Linked DNA regions of Oryctolagus cuniculus. The protein of the gene in region 1 interacts with the protein of each later gene in a biochemical or structural test. Links are inferred from orthologs where the notes say so. Each region holds a gene or a part of one and is shown in the gene's direction. Other genes may lie near its edges.

The links.
Region 2: the proteins of NHLRC1 (region 1) and EPM2A form a complex in vitro, tested with the Homo sapiens proteins (3 studies listed by BioGRID, with this or other methods). The link is inferred for Oryctolagus cuniculus from reciprocal best matches to the Homo sapiens genes NHLRC1 and EPM2A.

The regions. Positions count from the first base shown.
Region 1 is NC_091436.1:145,322,312-145,326,495, reverse strand, and holds the start of NHLRC1 (E3 ubiquitin-protein ligase NHLRC1), read left to right. Parts: upstream 1-1,337; 5' UTR 1,338-1,396; coding exon 1,397-2,566; 3' UTR 2,567-4,184. UniProt on the Homo sapiens protein: E3 ubiquitin-protein ligase. Together with the phosphatase EPM2A/laforin, appears to be involved in the clearance of toxic polyglucosan and protein aggregates via multiple pathways.
Region 2 is NC_091436.1:22,624,585-22,628,899, forward strand, and holds the start of EPM2A (laforin), read left to right. Parts: upstream 1-1,503; 5' UTR 1,504-4,315. UniProt on the Homo sapiens protein: Plays an important role in preventing glycogen hyperphosphorylation and the formation of insoluble aggregates, via its activity as glycogen phosphatase, and by promoting the ubiquitination of proteins involved in glycogen metabolism via its interaction with the E3 ubiquitin ligase NHLRC1/malin.

The DNA.
Region 1 (4,184 bases):
CTGTGTCAAATATACATTGGGCTTTACTTAGTATAGAGCAACAAAAAGGAAAAATATCTTAATATTTTTATAGTGATTATGTGTTAAAGTGATAATATTTGGGTTAAGTAAAATGTTCAGCTAAGTCAATTTCATCTTTTTACTCTTTACTATTCACAGTTTAATATATATAATTTATTTTACTTTCAAAAAATTTTTATTCATTTTATTTGAAAAGTAAAGAGACAGAGATCTCCCATCTGTTGGTTCACTCTCTAAATGCCCATAATAATCAGGGCCAGGCCAGGCTTAAGCCAGGAGCCAAGAACCAATCTGGGTCTCCCATGTGGGAGGCAGACACCCATTTTCAGCCAACTTGAGCCATCATCTACTGCCTCATAGTTTTTAGATCACACTACTTTTCAAAATATTACATTTTTAGTGCCCTGAATATATATATATATATATATAGAGAGAGAGAGAGAGAGATTTGGAAATTTATTTATCTGAAAGGCAGTGGTGAGGGTGGGGAATCTTCCCCAAATGCCCACAACAGCTTCAGGAGCTTTTACAAACCAATGTTTGCCCAGACTACACCCAGACCAATTAAACCCCTACCGTTTGCAATCAAGTTTGAAATGCACGGTGGGTTCTGTGTACTACCTGGCTTCATATTCCAGCCCAGCCACTTCCTAGCCATGCCAACCTGGACAAGATATTTAATGTCTCTGGACTCCATCACGGAGGATGATGACGAGATTTAAATAAGATGATCCACTGAAGCCACTTCAAGGAGGGCAGGCATGGAACAAGTTCTGCAGCAGGCATCGCTGATGAGAGCAGCTTTCTGGTTTCACATTAACTCCCCTGGAAGAGGTTCTCCCAACTGACATCATTCACCCAGTGGGGTTGTTGTATTATCCTAGTACACACCCACAGGCACACACTCACACAAAGGGAGTATGCACACCTGTCTGACCCTCCTCACCCCCTGGGCAACTTCTGTTGTGTGTCTGTTTCCCTACTCAGAAAACAAAGCGTCTTGAGCAGGGAGATGCTCATCAGACAAGAGACAGACTAACGTGACTCAGACCGGCCAGCCCCAGCACCCAGAACCCAGAGCCGCGGGTTGGAAACACTGCTGGGCACCAGCGTTGAAACCCTGCGTGCCGGTCTTTGCTTTGCACTTATTAAAGGTTTCGCAATAGGGAGCAGCCCGTTCGTCCTGCAGTGTGTGTCCTGCCGCACCAGGCCAGGCAGTCAGGAAACAGGGCCGAGAGCGCCCACCAGGGGGCAGCAGGCCGCGGCCTACGGCGCCGCCGCGCGCGACGTCAGGGCGGAGGCCCCGCCCCGTGGTCGTGACCGTGGGCGGCGCGGGGACAGCGTCCGGCGCGGCGGGAACGCGTCGAGCCGCGCCATGGGGGCCGAGGCCGCGGAGGCCCGGCCGGCGCTGCGGGAGCTGGTGCGCGAAGCCGAGACCAGCCTGCTGGAGTGCAAGGTGTGCTTTGAGAGGTTCGGCCACCGTCAGCAGCGGCGGCCGCGCAACCTGCCCTGTGGCCACGTGGTCTGCCTGGCCTGCGTGGCCGCGCTGGCGCACCCGCGGACGCTGGCCCTCGAGTGCCCCTTCTGCCGGCGAGCCTGCCGCGGCTGCGACACGAGCGACTGCCTGCCGGTGCTGCACTTGCTGGAGCTGCTGGGCTCCGCGCTGCGCCCGTCGCCAGCTGCCCAGCGCGCCGGCCCCAGTGCGCCAGGGGCCCTCAGCTGCCACCAAGCCTTCGGGGGCTGGGGGACGCTGGTCAACCCCACCGGGCTGGCGCTGTGCCCCAAGACGGGGCGGGTCGTGGTAGTGCACGACGGCAAGAGGCGGGTCAAGATCTTTGACTCCGCGGGAGGGTGCGCGCATCAGTTTGGGGAGAAAGGGGACGCTGCCCAGGATGTCAAGTACCCCTTGGATGTCACCGTCACCAACGACTGCTACGTGGTTGTCACCGACGCCGGCGACCGCGCCATCAAAGTGTTCGACTTTTTTGGCCAGATCAAGCTGGTGCTCGGGGGCCAGTTCTCCTTGCCCTGGGGCGTGGAGACCACCCCGCAGAACGGCGTCCTGGTCACTGACGCCGAGGCAGGGTCCCTGCACCTCCTGCAAATCGACTTTGCCGAGGGGCTCCTCCGCGGATCGCAGCTCTTGCAGGCGTCTCTGTGCAGCCCTCGCGGGGTGGCCGTGTCCTGGCTCACCGGGGCCGTGGCCGTGCTGGAGCGGCTGGCCGGCAGCGCCAGGGTGAAGGTGTTCAGTTCCAGGATGCAGCTCCTCAGCCAGGTGGACACCTTTGGGCTGAGCCTCTTCCACCCTCCCCGGATAGTCGCCTCGGCCGTGACCTTTGATCACCAGGGGAATGTGGTCGTCACAGAGACCTCTGGTCCCGCTGTCCTGTGCCTAGGAAAACCCGAGGAGTTCCCAGTCGTGAAGCCCATGATCAGTCACGGGCTTGGCCACCCCGTGGCGCTGGCCTTCACCAAGGAGAATTCGCTTCTCGTGCTGGACTCTGCATCCCACTCTGTCAACGTTTATAAAGCTGACTGGGGCTGAGGGGGTGTCGGGATCCCGGAGCTGCCGCGAGTGATCTGCCTAACCCTGCATAAGTCCCCTCTTCTCATCCAGGCACGCAGGGAAAATTGTAACTGCCTGGCAGGCTCAGAAAAGTTGGGGGCAATTATAAGGAGTAATTAAATCTACCATTTATTGAATGCTTACTCCCCAGTGCTGAGAAATTTGTGACTATTGGATCATTTAATCCGGGATGCCCGGTGAGGTAATGTCTAAAACTCATCCTATCTCAGAGATGAGAAAACTGAGACCCAGAGAGCTTAAATGACTTCCCCAAGGTCACAGTTACCTAGGGGACAGTCAGAGTTTGGCCTCAATCCTGGTTTCAAAACCCCTTGCTCTTAAATAATAGATGTGAGTAGATATGGTTGCTAAGCGTGTTTGCTCTACAAGTAGCTAAGTAGTTAGATGCACAAAGAAAGGAGACTTTGTAGAGTTCAGGAGAAAAAGGATTTTGTGATGGGCATCAGCGTGTCAACTTGCAGTCCCTCTGACGGAATAGAGGTATGTGAGCAGGAAAAACAGCAGACCGTGTCTTTTAGTGCCTGTCTCTCCCCTGTAGGCACTCAGGAAACGCACTGTTGTCTGGTTGAGAAAGGCTTGTGTTGGTGGAGACAGTGCCAGAGGGTGGGCCGAAACTCCCGTTCTCTCGTTCACCACGATAGGTTCATGGCAGAAGTGATTTGCTGGCCATTTTATCATCAGTGGGCATCGGAAGCACGTTGCAATGGGGGCTTTTCTCTGTGCAATTTAAATTTCATCTCTGCCTTGCAAACATTGTGTACTCAATGAACAGTTCCCCTAATCCTTTTAGGCCCCTGGTAAACACTTAAATACTTCTTCAGTTGAAGTGTAGCCTTGACCAAGCTAATACCAGCTTAATGTTGAGACTGAGTAAATGAATGGGTGGAAATTGCAAGGGAAGAGGCGGGTTCTTTCTAGGGTGTGTGTTTTTAGCTAGCGCAAACATCTTAGAGTTTAGGGCTAGACGAATAGTAGCAAAGAACCAGCACCTCAACAGCAGCAGAAGTGGTTTCTCAGGGAGGGAATCATTTCTCAGTGAGAGTTTGCTCTAGGTGAAAGCTGATGATTCTCAACAAAGCAATATTCCGTTTATACGGAGTTTTAATAGCTATGTACATGCTAGAGACAGTTTCCAAATTATGAGTCATGTATGTTCCAAAGATTGTAATTCTGTCTTTTGGAGCTAAAAGTGAGAGCATGCTCCCATGCCAGTCCCAAAAGCCCATTTTGCCTTCAGTGTTCCTGTCATGTATTACTAATGGTAAGACGTCAGCCACGTTGGCCCACCGTTTGTGAATGTATTCCAAGGAGGAGTTTCAGGGGCAGATCAATCCTACACACACCCCTGTGAAGTTACCCTTAGGTTGATGGCATCACAGATACTCTGAGGAAAAGCTGGAGATGTAAGTTCAGATTTGATAGGACAACCAAGAATTGATCTTAAAACATTTTCCTTAGGAACACTGATATTACAGAGTCTCAGGGTCAGTTGAGTCAGTTCAAGAGATATTCTCTTTGGAATTAGCAATGACAGCATCTGTAACTAGTTAGTTGGCCCTCCATACCTAGGGGTGGG
Region 2 (4,315 bases), about 120 Mb from region 1:
GAATTAGGAGATTGAGCCAGATAGTGCACCCGGATACTCAAAATGTGGGATGCAGGCATCTCAACGGGCATCTTAACTGCTAGGCCAAAGCCCACCCTTACTTTTGCTCTAAATGTAACATACCTACCATACCTACAATGGTTAGGAAAAATAAGTAAAGAAAATTCAAGGTCTTAGAAAGTGTTGGTCAAGGTTGCCCCTATCCGCATTCTCTATTCTCTACTAAGTGTGGATGACCTAGCTCTATTTAAGCTCTTTTTTTTTTTTTTTTTTTTCTCCAAACTCTTGGGAGTTTCAAATCACTCCTTGCAGCCAGCACTCCTTTATTACTAAGGGTTGAGGTATCAGGACTTCTACCATTTTTGAAAAAAGGTATTAACTATCCAACCATTCAAGTTAGTCCCAGACCCAGGAGGATCTTTTTACTTCTGAAAGAAGCTCTAAACTGGTGTCTCTGACCTGGAGGTCCTTTCATTTGCCTTGGCCCTCTAGTTTCTGTAGGTAAAGTCAATTTATGTTACTGCTTAAGAAAACAAAGGCTTGAATGATCTGTTGAGAATTTCTCCACTGAGATGTAAGGAGAATAGGTGTGGATCTTACAATGATGGGCATTGGAAGTATGATGGAAAGACAAGTCAATTCTTTTGAAAGGGCATATGCTTATCTATAATTTCATATCTGGAACATTTAAACGTTATTTTAATAGCATAAATTCAATGACAGAAGTGTGGCTAAACAGGCTATTGGGGATATACCGAAGAGGCACTACTTCTCTATGGTGGGATGAGCGGGATGTGGAATCATTGGAATCTACTGGAGATAGATTTGTATATGTAACAAGAAGGGACATGAATTTTTTAAATAGTTGAGAAATGCTGTGGGATTTTGGACAAAGACTTAGGACAGCTTGTGTCCTATTTCTTTAGATTCCCAGCAAGGTTTCAATTTTCCAGCCCAGAAAAATGTTATCTATAACATGCAAAAGTCTCTCAGTTGTACTGAAACTTTTTCTGGAAGGTTTTTGTTTGTTTTAAGCTGCAAAATGAAAAATAATAAATGTGACAATTGAATTCTTAAATCTGTTTTGTTAAGTGGTAAACTAATACTTACAATAGTCTCTGAACCATTTGGATAAAATGTGGATTACATCAGTGAGCGTGTATCTACATACACAATAATATAAGGGAAGATTTATGACAACTCAGGAGCTAGTGAAAGATTGCTTCAGAAAACATAAATCAGCAAAGATTCAAGCCATAGCTTTTCCTAAGGGGGCTTTGAAAGAATTTACATTTGAATTGGATCCTAAAACTCTAAGTTTAAATTTATCACACATTCTTCAAGAAATACTGTAGTTATATAGAAGACAGCACTATAGAAATGAAATGAAATGATACAAGTTTTCTTTGGTCTTTTAAAAATTACTGTCAGAATTGTTATTCTATTGAGATGATTTTTACTCAGCTCATCCCCATAGCATCAAGTATCAGAACTCAGATAAATTATACAAGTAATTCTTTTTAATAATTACCATAATATTTTTGTAATATAAAAAGAAATATCAAATGAAGAACCCAACAAGGAAAAAGATATGGGAATAACATACTTTTTTAACTGGTAAATTTCTTCATCTTGGCCTTTCTTTCTTTCTTTCTTCTTCTTCTTCTTTTTTTTTTTTTTTTTTGACAGGCAGAGTGGACAGTGAGAGAGAGAGACAGAGAGAAAGGTCTTCCTTTGCCATTGGTTCACCCTCCAATGGCCTCCGCGGCCGGCGTGCTGCAGCCGGCGCACTGCGCTGATCCGAAGCCAGGAGCCAGATGCTTTTCCTGGTCTCCCATGCAGGTGTAGGGCCCAAGCACTTGTGCCATCCTCCACTGCCCTCCCTGGCCACAGCAGAGAGCTGGACTGGAAGAGGGGCAACCGGGACAGAATCCTGGGCCTCAACCGGAGTAGAATCTGGTGTGCCGGTGCCGCAGGCGGAGGATTAGCCTATTGAGCTGTGGCGCCAGCCCATCTTGGCTTTTCCATCTGTTTCTGTTGCCTATAGGATTTGTGTATAACAGCATAAAAATTACAATTTCCTACGGCACGAGATCAAATAACCTCTAAATATCAATATATTTATGCCTTTATAGATTCCTCATGATTCACCTGACCATCATTCCTAAGCATAAAATCAGTTACAGGAAATAATTACACGTAGTTCACTTTTTATTAAGAGCTGATAGAGTATAACATTTAAATATGCTGGGACTTAAATGCATTATGTATATTACATATACACAATGAATCACATATCTTTTAATATGCATTAACAGGATACACAGGATATTATTATAGGATAAACAGATACCTTTTAGAACCTGGCTCTTTTCCTTCCTTGCTGTGAGATGTTTACTGAACCTAATGTGCCTCCTTCTCTTCACATCTAGAAGGGGAATAATAATTATAGTTACCTCATAGGATTGGTAAGATAATTAAATGAGATAACATGAATATGAAAACCATGTGTCTGGCACACAGGAAGGGCTCAATTGCAATCATTAAGGCTTATGTTTCCAAATGATTGATGGTCAAAGTGCAATTGAGGTTTTTAAATATGTCTTTTACCCCATATTCTTTCTATTTCCATCTTACTTGGTGCACAACATAGTTATCAAACTTGTACCCTGTTAAGCTTTTGCCATAAAATAAGTTTTAGCTTATCTTGTTTAGGGGTTCAAAGGGTGCTTATTGTAATGGTTAAAATTATTCAATCTCTTTATGAAGACAGAAAAGTAAATAATATCTGAGGTGGATGTTTGGTCTGGTTTTTAAGATGCCACAGATGCAGGCAGCAGAGTAGAATGTGAAAGTTCTAAACTGTTAGCTCCCAGGTCCTTAAGAAATAAGATCAATTAAAGTCTGAATTCCATTGTGGACAAGAAGTATTCTTGGCCAGATGAGTATTATTTTCCTAAAATTATTCTAAAAATATTTTATTACAGTCGTTTGAATAAACTGACTCACATGCCATTGTGAGTTAATGTCTGTTTTGCTACTGAATCAGCCCTAGTTGGCCAGCCTTGCTGCCTTCACATTTTTCTTGATGTTTATCCTTAAGCTTAGCAACCAACCAAACTTTGAGTGAAGTACCAATGTTTAAAGAGTGAAGCGTATTATTAATTTACTAACGGTCCCACAGAGACTGAGTTTGTGCAGTTTACAATTTTTGTACTTCTATTTTATTATGAATGCCTGAGATTTTGGCTTTTTCGTTACTATTCACAAGCTTCCAAACACTGGCAAAAATGGGTCTGTGTGTGCTTTTAATTCACTTAAGAGATCTGTGTTATGTTAAATGTTGGTGACTACACAAATTTTAAGAACATGAGAAAAACTTCATTAAAAAATGTAACAAAATGTAAACAGGATATTTAGCTTATGTCAGTGACAGACTGAAGTATCCTCTTCCCCCAAAGACGTCAGTACAGTATTTTTCTTCTGGTCAATTAGTTATAAACTTGTTTCTTGACTCGAAAATTTTTTAAGTTTAAAAAAATAGTAACCTAGACTAAATTTAAACAAATGGTCTTATTTTTACGCTGTTTCAAAAAAATCATGGAAAGTATACATTAAAATCTCTGAATTATAGTTTTTTTTTTTAGACTTGAAGGGGACTTGGAAGTATTTACTTCAAACACATTGAGAACGCGTTGAATTCACACTGAAAACAAAACACAAATACAGTGTTTTTCAAGGGAGAAAGTGATTATCTTATCAGGCGTCGGACTGCAGAGCAAGGGCAAGGCATAAAACGATCTTTTCTCAGCTCATGGTCTTGCGCTCATTCGTTGCAGAACCCTCAGAGGTGGCAGGTCTTCAGACAGGACGATTCGCTTACACCTGCAGATCACAAAGCACCCGGGATCCAGAGGGAAGAAGTGACTTGGCTAAGACCCGAGGCCGCTACCCAGAGGCCATTCCATTCTTCATGACTCTCCTAGAGATCATTTCCAGGCTCCTGTCCAGATGACTGGACAATCGCGCGGCTTAGGCTTCGTCTCCCTGTTTCCAAGCCTCGTTTTCTCGTCCCTGCTGCCGTCCGAGCAGGCGTTCTAGGTAGGCGCCCACGAGCAGAACCCGGTGGTGCTGCAACAGGCCGCCCCAGAGGCAGGCACAGGCCTAGATGCGGCCCGGGCTCCGGCGCCGCGTGATAAAGCCCAAAATAGGTGCAGACCCACACGTGTCCCCGCCGGCGCCCGGGCCTCCGCTCCAACGCCCAATCGCTGCGGCCGCCTGGCGCTCGGGCCGCGTGGGCCGGCGCTCGGAGACC